Linked DNA regions of Oryctolagus cuniculus. The protein of the gene in region 1 purifies or fractionates together with the protein of each later gene. This does not show direct contact. Links are inferred from orthologs where the notes say so. Each region holds a gene or a part of one and is shown on either strand. Other genes may lie near its edges. The genes, in order: SAAL1, TMEM43 and SLC27A2.

Region 1 (3,647 bases):
GCTCCTGGCTTCAGTCTGGCTCAGCCCTGGCCATCACAGCCAGTTGGGGAGTTAACCAGAGGATGGAAGATCTCTGTCTACTTCTCTCTTACTTTCAAATGAACAAGTATATCTTAAAAAATGAAACAAAACCTTTCTCTTTCACTTAGCCTTTTTTAAGTTTTATTTATTTATTTATTCATTTTTTTGGAAAGGCAGAGGGAAACATGGGGTGCAGGAACATAGAAACGGATCTTCCATCTACTGATTCACTCCCCAAATGCCCAGGATGAGCAGCTGGGCCAGGACAAAGCCAGGGGCATGGAACTCCATCCAGGTCTTCCACATGGGTGTCTGGGATCCAAGTACTTGAACCATCACTTGTCAGGAAACTGGATCTGAAGCCGAATGGAGACTTGACCAAGTACTCTAATATGGGAAGTGGGTGTCCCAAGTGGTATCTTAACTGCTGTGCCACACATCTGCCCTTTTTTTTTTTTTTTTTTGAAAAAAAAAAAAAAGATTGAGGGGGCTGGCACTGTGGTGTAGCATGTAAAGCTGCCGTCTGTAGTACTAGCATCCCATATGAGCACCAGTTCGAGTCCCCGTTGCTCCTCTCCCGATCCAGCTCTCCGCTGTGGCCTGGGAGGGCAGTAGAAGATGGCCCAAGTCCTTGGGCCCCTGAATCCACATGGGGGATCCAGAAGAAGCTCCTGGCTCCTGGATTCGAATCAGCTCAGCACCAGCTGTTGCAGCTACTTGGGGGGGATGAACCAGTGGATAGAAGATTTCACTCTCTCACTCTGCCTCTCTGTAACTCTGTCTTTCAAGTAAATAAATAAATAAATCTTTAAAAAAATATTTATTTGAAAATCAGAGTTATAGAAACAGCAGGAGGGGCCGGTGCTGTGGCACAGCAGGTTAATGCCCTAGCCTGAAGCACCGGCATCCCATATGGGTGCCGGTTCAAGTCCCAGCTGCTCCACTTCCAATCCAGCTCTCCATTATGGTCTGGGAAAGCATTAGAAGATGGCCCAAGTGCTTGGGCCCCTGCACCCATGTGGGAGACCCAGAGGAAGCTCCTGGCTCCTGATCAGCGCAGCTCCGGCAGTTGTGGCCAACTGGGGTGTGAACCAGGGGATGGAAGACCTCTCTGTGTCTCTCTCTGCCTCTCTTCTCTGTGTAACTCTTTCAAAAGGAAGGAAGGAAGGAAGGAAGGAAGGAAGGAAGGAAGGAAGGAAGGAAGGGAGGGGAGGGGAGGGGAGGGGAGGGGAGGGGAGGGGAGGGGAGGGGAGGGGAGGGGAGGGGAGGGGAGGGGAGGGGAGGGGAGGGGAGGGAGGGAAGGGAGGGAAGAACAGCAGGATAGACGGAGATCTTCCATCTGCTGATTAACTCCCTAGATAGCTACAGTGGCCAGGACTGGGCGAGGCCAAAGCCAGGAGACCAAAGCTTCATTTAGGTCTCCCATGTAGGTGGTAGAGGCACACATAATTGAACTGGCACCAATAAGAGATGCTGGCATTGCAGGCAGAAGCTTCACCCATTACACCACATCAGCCCCTGACCTTCTTTTTAAAAAGTGACTTCTAGAAAGTTATATAGCTTCCAAACATAATCTAGAATATTTTCTTCTAGATTACATGTACATACCATTTGTTGAACTTGACATGATGAAGCAAATGCTATCATAAATAGCTGGATGTTCCCGGATCCTTTCAACCCAGACACTGGCCACTTCTGTCTGGGAAAGGCAAGTAAGCAACAACCTATATGATAAATGTGAGTTTAGTATCTTTTCAAAAAAACAAGTAAAGGACATTTGAGAATGAAGATTTATTTTCCTAGATTCCCCATGGGTTTTTATGGGGTAAAGAATTCATAAAAACAGAAAAGCATACCTGCTTGTTTCCAGCAGAGTAGGAGGGTCTGAATCATATAAACAGTGTAGTAACACCTCCCTACAAAAACAACAGAGTTAAGCCTTAAATCCTACTTTCCTGATTTCAAACATCAGAGTTTTCGTTTAAATATTTTTGTGAAATACTGTATACATGTAGAAAAGCCTGTAAAATACAAATCTATAATCAACAATTAGAAAGCATTCACATTTCTACCAAACAGAACAATGCAACAGTGTTGCATCTGCATAGCCCCAATGTGTCCACTCCAAGTTACCATTCTCTTTCCCACCTAGAAATGAATGCCATCCTGACTTATCTAGCAATCATTTCTTTGTTTTGCTCCATACTGTGGGGAGCAGCCCGGACTGGACTGAGTTACTGGAATTAAGACTTATTCTATGCATCTGCTCTCCCACAATATGGCGCTGGGAGAGGAGGAAACAGCTTCCGCACAGCTGCCTCCAGTTCAACCAATAAACTGTAGGACTTGCTCCTGATTGGAGAGCAGCGTACTCGGTGTGTGGGCAGCCGAGTTAGGATTGGCGGAGGAGGACTATAAAGGAGGAGAGAGACGGCATGCACGAGGAACATCTAAGGGGAACATCTAAGGGAACACCTGTGCAGCCCCCAGAGAGCCGGCCGGCGGTGTGCCGCTCCCCTGCGGAAGTGGGGAATGTGGCCAGGGGGAACTGCCCTTCCACGGAGGTGGAAGGGATAGTAGCCAACCCGGGAAGAACCAGCAGCAAACCCGGGGAGGGCCGAGCAGACGAAAGAACAGCGCAGGGTCCTGTGTCGTTCCTCCACGAAGAGGGGGAGCGACACATACTTTTACATTTTATATAGTTTTGGTTTTGCTTTTAAAGTTTATATGAAATAAATTACATACTGCATTTTTCTCCTAAAAATGCCTTTGGTTATTATTTATCTTTTTTTTTTTTTTGACAGGCAGAGTTAGAGAGAGAGAGACAGAGAGAAAGGTCTTCTTTTTCTGTTGGTTCACCCCCCAAATGGCCGCTGCGGCAGGTGCACTGCGGCTAGCGAACTGCGCCATCCGAAGCCAGGAGCCAGGTGCTTCCTCCTCATCTCCCATGCAGGTTCAGGGCCCAAGCACTTGGGCCATCCTCCACTGCCTTCCCGGGCCACAGCGGAGAGCTGGACTGGAAGAGGAGCAACCGGGACAGAATCCAGCACCCTGACCGGGACTAGAACCCAGGATGTGGCGCTGCAGGTAGAGGATTAGCCAAGTGAGCCGCGGCGCCAGCCTATCTTTCCATCTTTGTGTTTGCTGACACATAATTGTACTACTGATTGGGTCCAGTGTGATGTTTAGACATATGTTGGTGTATTCTTATGAGTCTTATTTCTCTGTATAAAACCACACATGTTAGCTCCATCCAGGTGTTCCTGTAGCTGTTCTTTCATTCATTGCTGCACAGGCTCCTCATGTGAACATAACATTATTTCTTTAGCCTACTGCTGTCGGACATCTGGGCTGACTCCAGTTTGGGGCCATCTCAAGGAATGCACCTATAACCTTGTCTGAGTATGCTGCTGAGCACGTGAGGTTGCCCTCCCCATATATGTATCTATGTAACAGGGATGGGTCATAGCTTATGCACATCTTTCAGTCTGACTAGAGAATGCCCAGCTGTTCAAAAATGAACAAATTTACACCCTATTCACCATATAAATTGTTCCAAATTAATTTTAAGATGAGCATTTCAATGAACTTAACATTTATGAGGCTTTTGGTAGAGAATATTAGGG
Region 2 (3,747 bases), on another chromosome or scaffold:
GAAGGCTGTCACAAAGCTTCAAAACGGAAGCTGCACGGAATAGGGAGCACAATGAAAGTGAGGTATGCCCGCGGTCCTTGGAGAGGGAGTGGGACAGCTTTCGGGTCCAGGGAAGCAGCCGTTCTACACCCAGGCAGAAGTCCCGCGGTAAAGACCCGGCATATTTCTTTATTCATTTTCGTTTCTAACATTTTACTTATTCTCATCTACTTGACAGAGAAAGGTCTTCTTCCATCCACTGATTTCCCAAATGCTGGCCAGAGGGGGCCAGGCTCACACCAGGAGCCAGGAACAGCCTCTGGGTCTCCCCCCAGGGGGTGGGCAGGGGCCCAAGTACTGTAGCCACCAGCCGCTGCCCCAAAGGCGCATTAGCAGGGGGCTGGATGGGTGGCCACCCTCTCTGGGCCTCAGGACCCATAAGTTAAACTGAAGGAGCAAAGCTGTTCAAATTTCTGTCTGAGTGCTAACTCCACAGCTGTGCATCCGCTGCAGCCCACCAGCCGCTCCCCCGGCACCGAGAACGCGCCGCCGAATGAATGAGGCCCGGCGCCGGGGGCCTGGCGGGGTCGGGGGTCCGCTAGGGCACAGGGACCCCGGTAGTGTGGCGAGGCCCAGGGACGGCTCTGGGGGGCAGAGCAGCAGGGCCTCCAACCCCGGCCCCACCGGCTTGGCCGACTCACCTGCGTCTCGGTTTACGGCTCCATAAACGCAAGCGCAGAGCTAGGAATATGCTCCAACGGTGCAGGGGGCGCTTCCCGCGCCCCGACACCGCACACGCCTCCGTGGAGGGCCCGCGCGGGGCGCGAACAAGTCGCCGCAGCACAATCCCACCTGCGAGCCCAGCGCTCGCTTCCCGGGCGCCCTCCGGGCCTGGTCTGCGGCTCTCCCACGTGCAGGCCCCTCCGAGCTCCGGGTTCAGGCTGCACCGTGACCTTGGACCAGCCCCGTTCTTCCCAGAACCCCGTTTTCTCTTCTACACAACTCCATGTGGCGACCCCGCCGCCCGGTCAGCCCCGAGGTGGGCACCCCCCGACCGCGCCTCGGGGAGCCCTCGCCGGCCGCGGGGGCCACAGGGGCCACAGGGGCCGCAGGAGCCCGCGCGTCTCCCACAGGCCGGCGCAGCCCGCTCTCCCTACCTTCCTGCCGGCAGTAGGCCATGGCTGCGGCCCGGCGACTCGACCTCGCACCGGCGGCGGTGGCGACGGTCACGCCGTGACCTCCCTCTACTCAGGCAGGGCAGACAGACGGCTGTGAGGCCCGCGCAGACCCGCCCCCTCCAGGCCTGCCCGCCGCGCGCCTGCCTCCGCGCCCTCGCAGCGCCAGCCCGGCTCTCCTCAGCCAGAAACTACATTTCCCAAGAGCCTGAGGGGCCCCTTGGCTGCCCTCCAGAAGGTGGGAACTACATTTCCCAGGAACTCTTTGCGGCGCGCAGGCGTGCCAGTGAATCTCGGGCGTATTGCTACTTTGTGAAGAAAATGCCCGCCGCTGGTTTAGCTGCGCGCATGCGCAAAAAAGTTGGGGTTCCCTCGGGGCGGGGACTGCGTAGCAAGTTGCTCCTGATCCCGGGCTCCACGCGGAGTTGTTCGGCGGTAGGGCAGCGAAGAGGCCGCGAGACTCTGCACTCCGATCGTCCTCCGGACCAGAGCGAGTGGGCGGCCGCGACTCGGGCCCCAGCATGGCGGCGAATGTGAGTGCCTCCCGGTCGGCCGGGCCACACCCAGGCCGCCCCGTCTCCCTGCTGGCCGCCCGGGTCTGAGGGGCTGTCCGAGCCTCGTCGCAGTCTCGTCCGCTGTCGCTCGGCCTGTCCGTCTTGCTCCCGTCTCTGTCCGCTGTCCTCGGCGCGGCTCGCCTTGCGGGGCGCGGCTGCGGGGAGCGGGGCTCGGGAGGGGTCGCGCCCGCCTCGGCTTCTCCCAGGCCCCGCCTGGCTCCTCGGGGGTCTGAACCCCGCGGCACTGGAGAGCCGGGCGCGGCCTCGGGGAGGGGGCCGGTCCGTCGCGGGGGCGGGAGGCGGATCCCGCCCGCGGGGAGCTGTCCAGCGAGGGACAGACCGGGCAGAGAGCGAGACCCCCGCCCAGGGGCTGCGATGCCGCAGAGGGGCCCGGGCCGGGCGGGGAGGGCTGCAGAGGAGAATCGCGTCCCTCGGCCCGCCCTCCACTCCCCTCCCCTCCGCTCCCCTGCGCTCCCCTCCTAGCGGATTTGGTCGGAGGGGCCCTGGCCGGGGATGGCCTTCAGGGCTGCCAGCCTCTTTGCAACCTACAGAACATTCATTCAACAAACCTCGCCCTCCTGCCGGGGTGTCGGCTGTGCGAGAAGCTGGTGACTCACTCCCTTGCTCTGTGGAGCCAGCTCCAGCACCCTGCCAGCCCAGACCCGCCCTCCCGGGCCTGTCACTCTCTCTTGCCAAGGCTACTGCTCTCCCCAAAGGGACCCCGGGAGGCCAGGGTTTGTGTCGCCCCTTGCCCCTGGCACAGTGCCCTAGAAAAGGCGGGCGGAGGACCGCCAGGGCAGACGGTTCCAGGAGACCCGCCTGGCCCTGCAGCAGGCGGCGCCGCCATCCATGGAGTTCACAGATGGGGAATTTGCAGAGCAGGGGAAGGGACCTGCCCAGGGTCTCACGTCCACCCTGGCGCACACCAGGACACGGGAAGGTGCTGAGGACTCAGGGAGACCTGGGGGCACACCCGCTCTGTAGCTGTGTGGCCCTGCGCTCGCTGGATCTGTGTTTCTTCACCAGCTCAGCACAGAGCCTGTTCCCAGCACCGAACAGCAGGTGGTTCTCACAGCCTTAGCGCGCCTGGCCCGGGTGTGTCACCAAGAAACGGGGGTACCTTTGGGCCGCCTCTGCCGCCAGGCTCTTGCTGATCTGCAGAGCTGGGGACACGTCGATGGCAGCCACCAGGACTTTGTCGCGCATCTTGCTACTTTGTGGAGAAAATGCCCGTCGCTGGTTTAGCTGCACGCATGCGCAAAAAAGTTGGGGTTCCCTCAGGGCGGGGGAAAGATCTGAAGAGTGGGGAGAGGGCAGCATTCGCTATGACAGTAACTGTCCCTTGATGAAGGTAGTGACCCCTTCTGCGTTTCCTAAGTGAGTAGGCGGGGGGGGGGGGGGGGTGGGGGGTCAGAGAAGCAGAGCAACTCACCCAAGGTTGCCCAGCAGCCGACCGGCCAAGCAGGCGCTGTGAGTCCTTGTTCCCACCACTTGTTCAAGCAGCTGAGCCTGGAGTGCCCGAATGTGTGTGTGTGTGTGTGTGTGAGTGTGTCACTGGGAGGAGCTCATTTGCATACCTCCTCCCTGCCCCTCCTGAGTGTGGAGTGTGGGAAATTTGGTTCAGAACCTGGGCTGGGTGCTGGGTGTGTCTTGTCACTACCCACCTCCCTCCAGCCTGGCAGGGAGCCTCCTGGGCCTCTCTTCCTTCCCTCCAAGGCCCTCCTGGAGCCCTTGATGCTGGCCACGGGGTGGCCCAGGAGGAAGCCATGCCTGCAGCTGGCACCCAGCGTTCACCTCACATTTCAGCCCCAGCACTGAGTGACACAGACGTGAGCTTCGTGGTAGAAAAATCCAAAAGGCCGTGAGATCTGGGCAGACGCCGAAACTGCTGAGACTTGGTTTTTCTCACCGGTGAAATGGGGCATAGTGAGTGTCTGTCCCCCGGATCTTGCCCACACCTGGCCCATGGTAGCCTGGCAGGTCTGCATCGCCATCCTTACCATGGCCAATGGTCAGCGACCCACCTGCTGACAGAGTCC
Region 3 (3,540 bases), on another chromosome or scaffold:
ATTCCTTCCTTAGCCTCCTCCTGTTTTTTTTTTTTTTTAATTTTATTTTATTATTTGAAAGGCAAAGTTACAGAGAGGCAGAGAGAGAGAGAGAGAGAGAGAGAGAGAGAGAGGTCTTCCATCCGCTGGTTCACTCCCCAACTGGCAGCAATGGCTGGAGCTGCGCTGATCAGGAGCCAGGAGCCCCCTCCGGGTCTCCCTCGCTGGTGCAGGGTCCTAGGAACTTGGGCCATCTTTTACTGCTTTCCCAGGCCATAGCAGAGAGCTGGATCGGAAGTCGAGCAGCAAGGACTTGAACCGGTGCCCATATGGGATGCCGGCAGTGCAGGGGGTGGCTTTACCTGCTATACCACAGTGCCAACCCCACCCCCATTTTTTCTTTTCTATTTTTTTTTTAAACTCAGAATTCTATAGTGAGTGGAACACCTGCCTGTGAAAACTTATTAAGGAGGTTGTCAAGCTTTGGAGTAAATGACAAAGGATTTTCATTTAGAATAAAGCCAGGAAGGAACATAAAAAACAGTGTCACGTCACATGCTGGTGTTCATCTACTTTATTTATTTAAAAAAATAATGCCCTCCCTCCAGCAAGCTCAGTTTGCAAATACAAACAGTAAGTGCACATTGGAAAATAATTATCTCTAAATCTTTTCACTTGCAAAGGTCTAGTTGTAATTTAAAAAGTGGTCCCTTGCTGGTATGCATAATTTCCTAATAAAAATAACTGAACGTGACAATCTTCGATTAAATTAAAGTTGAATTATATCAAATGGCTGTTCTAGGTCCATTCCATTTCTTTCTGGAACTAGACATTATCCTCTTGGAAATAGTCAGAGTTTCAGAGTTTTGTCACTTATGGCATTATAAATGTCCTGAGTCATAGGCACATACATTTTCGCTGTGTCATCCAAGAAATACAAGGTATCCTTGATGACTGCAGGGTTGAAGCCCTCCTCCATGAGGGTTACTTTGCGGTGTTTGAAGGTCCCAGTGATCTCAATGGCGTCCTGAAAGACATCACAGAACACACGTGAGGCTTGTGCTTGCAGTAGATGAGGGTTCAGGGCAGTGGAGGGCACGGGCATTTGGCATCTCTGGCTCAGGGATAGCTGCGAAATGAGCTGTTTTTTTCTTATTTAAAAAAATTTTATTACTATGTAATACTGTACATTCTGAGGGCCTAAGTGCAATATTTCAACACACACATGTAGCATAAACCAATGAAACCAGGCAACTAGTTTTTCCACTTCCTCGTCTTTGTGTTTGCAGCCTACTAGTTGTTTACAAAGCACATTGCTGGGAACTACAGTCATGCCAGGAACCCAGCACCTCTATCTGACCGCCTTGGTGCTCATTACTGATCCTCCCTCTGCCTTCCTCTTCTCTCTCTCCCAGCCTCTCGTAATCGCTATTCAAAGCTCAGGCCAATTTTTTATTTTAAAATTTCCACATACGAGGGAGAACATGTGGTATGTGTCTTCCTGTGGCTGACTTAGGGAGGTGAAAGTTTAGTGCTATCCATTCAGCCTGCTTTTAGAATCTCCACTAATGAGCCCGACTATCATGAGGTAGTTTTTCTTCCCGTAAAGCCTTAGGGTTGGAGTGGGTGCTTGGCCTAGCATTTAAGACACGACTTGGGATGCCCCTATCCTATATTGCAGGGGCCAGTTCACATCCCAGCTCCACTCCTGATGTCAGCTTCCTGTTAATGTGTACCCTGGAAGGCGGCAGGTGGTGGTTCAAGTACTTGTGTCCTGCCACCCGCATGGAAGACCTGGATTGATTTCCCAGTTGCTGGTTTCAAGTGAACCAGCAGATGGGCGCTCTGTCTCAAAGCTTTAGGATCACCTGTGGGGAGTGAAGGCTGTGGGGATGCTACCAGGGAGATTCCTGTGTATAGATTTTTGGAAAATTATTTTTCATTTTATTTGGAAGGCAAGGAGACAGAGATCATCCAACTGCTGCTTCAGTTCCCTAATTCCCTCCACAGCAGGGGGTTGGCCGGGCTAAAGCCTGGAGCCAGGAACTCAGTCTGGGTCTCCCACATGTGTGGCAGGGACCCCAACCCTGAGTCATCTTCTGCTGTCCCTCAGATTGTGCGTTAGATTGGAAGTGGAGCCAGGACTCAAACCAGGCACACTGATATGGGACGCAGGCATCCCAAGTGGCATCTTAACTGCTGCACCAAATGCCAGCCCCACTTGTGCGTATTTCTGAGCATAGGGGTGGCACCTGCTGCCTGGTAAGGCCCCGGACATTTTTAGAATATCCTAACTAATGGTGGGAATAAGAGGATAGAGCATTCACGCTCAGACAACCCTGTTTTCTCAGTCTGTTTGCTGATAGACTGAAGACTGGTTAAGACTGGTTTTTCCTTCACGGTTACTGGAAATATCCAAATACCCCTTTTTCATGTTTGTTTACCATTTGGTTGCAAAGTAAATGTCAGTGTTCCATTAACATCAATAGAAACAACCCTATACAGCCAAACAATACTTGGAATCCTAACGTTCCTCCAGTCTGTGGCTGTAGTATCGAATCAGAGCAGAGAGTCTGAGAGTAAGAGTGTTAAACTAACAAAAGGGTTGATGTTTGAGGAAGGAAAAGAATGTCTCTAGAAGAGATAGCTAGGTCTTCCTAGTTCCAAATGGTTAATGATGCCCAATTGTACTTCACACCACCTGGTGGGCAGCCCATATCAGAATGCCCCAGGGAGTCCTGGCTGCCAGGCTTCCAATCCAGCTCCCTGCTAATGTGCCTGGGGAGGCTGCGGAAGATGGCCCAAGGACCTAGGCTGCTGCCACCAACTGGGAGATTAGGATGGAGTCCTGGCTTGGCCCTGCCCACGCTATTGTGACCATTTGGGGAGTGAACTAGTGGGTGGAAGATCTCTCCCCCTACTCTTCCCTTTCAACTCCTGTGTGTGTCACTCTGCCTTTCAAATAAATAATAAATCTTAAAAACAAAAAAGAAACTTGACACCATGAAAACGTGGAACACGTAGTGGCTTTTTCCATTCTTTGAAACTAGAATCAACAAATCCAGTATGGTCAGAGCGTTTCTTTGTGAAGTGTCTGTCATACCTCTCCAGACAGACTTTGTGAGCTCTTGGCCTGCTGCTAAATGAACTGGCTGAACTGGCAAGGAAGGGATTAGGATTAGGATTGGGTTTCTGGTGACTGTATTTCCTGATGTTTCTGTCTTCTGATGTAGATTTATGCCCCTCCTTTCTGAGCTTCCTGGAAAGGGTGGTGAACAATTTGGCAAAGGCAGTCACAAAGCAGGGAAGGGAGGTTGCTCGCTAAGGGACAGAGGTCTCCAAGAGGGAAGAGAATTGAACTGGACAAGAGGCCCACCTGGATTCTGAGAAACCGGGGCCTTGCATAACTAGGCAGGTAATCAACAACGTGCTGAAAGAGTTTCTTTCCATCAAATTCATGGTTTTCTTTCATCTTGATTGAGGCCATGCCAATTCGACCCTCATGACCTGAAAGGAAAGTGAAAAAAACAATGAGCTATTTGTTTTGCTTATGAGGCTTTG

Evidence for each region.
Region 2: the proteins of SAAL1 (region 1) and TMEM43 purify together in Homo sapiens (affinity purification with mass spectrometry; 3 studies listed by BioGRID and IntAct, with this or other methods). This does not show direct contact. The link is inferred for Oryctolagus cuniculus from reciprocal best matches to the Homo sapiens genes SAAL1 and TMEM43.
Region 3: the proteins of SAAL1 (region 1) and SLC27A2 purify together in Homo sapiens (co-immunoprecipitation; 3 studies listed by BioGRID and IntAct, with this or other methods). This does not show direct contact. The link is inferred for Oryctolagus cuniculus from reciprocal best matches to the Homo sapiens genes SAAL1 and SLC27A2.

The regions. Positions count from the first base shown.
Region 1 is NC_091432.1:48,224,837-48,228,483, reverse strand, and holds part of SAAL1 (protein SAAL1), read right to left. Parts: intron 1,938-3,647; coding exon 1,878-1,937; intron 1,746-1,877; coding exon 1,630-1,745; intron 1-1,629. UniProt on the Homo sapiens protein: Plays a role in promoting the proliferation of synovial fibroblasts in response to pro-inflammatory stimuli.
Region 2 is NC_091441.1:113,066,426-113,070,172, forward strand, and holds the start of TMEM43 (transmembrane protein 43), read left to right. Parts: upstream 1-1,426; 5' UTR 1,427-1,675; coding exon 1,676-1,687; intron 1,688-3,747. Other genes in the region: CHCHD4 (mitochondrial intermembrane space import and assembly protein 40), read right to left, coding at 1,137-1,158. UniProt on the Homo sapiens protein: May have an important role in maintaining nuclear envelope structure by organizing protein complexes at the inner nuclear membrane. Required for retaining emerin at the inner nuclear membrane.
Region 3 is NC_091443.1:73,007,128-73,010,667, reverse strand, and holds the end of SLC27A2 (long-chain fatty acid transport protein 2), read right to left. Parts: intron 3,487-3,540; coding exon 3,356-3,486; intron 1,007-3,355; coding exon 830-1,006; 3' UTR 539-829; downstream 1-538. UniProt on the Homo sapiens protein: Mediates the import of long-chain fatty acids (LCFA) into the cell by facilitating their transport across cell membranes, playing an important role in hepatic fatty acid uptake.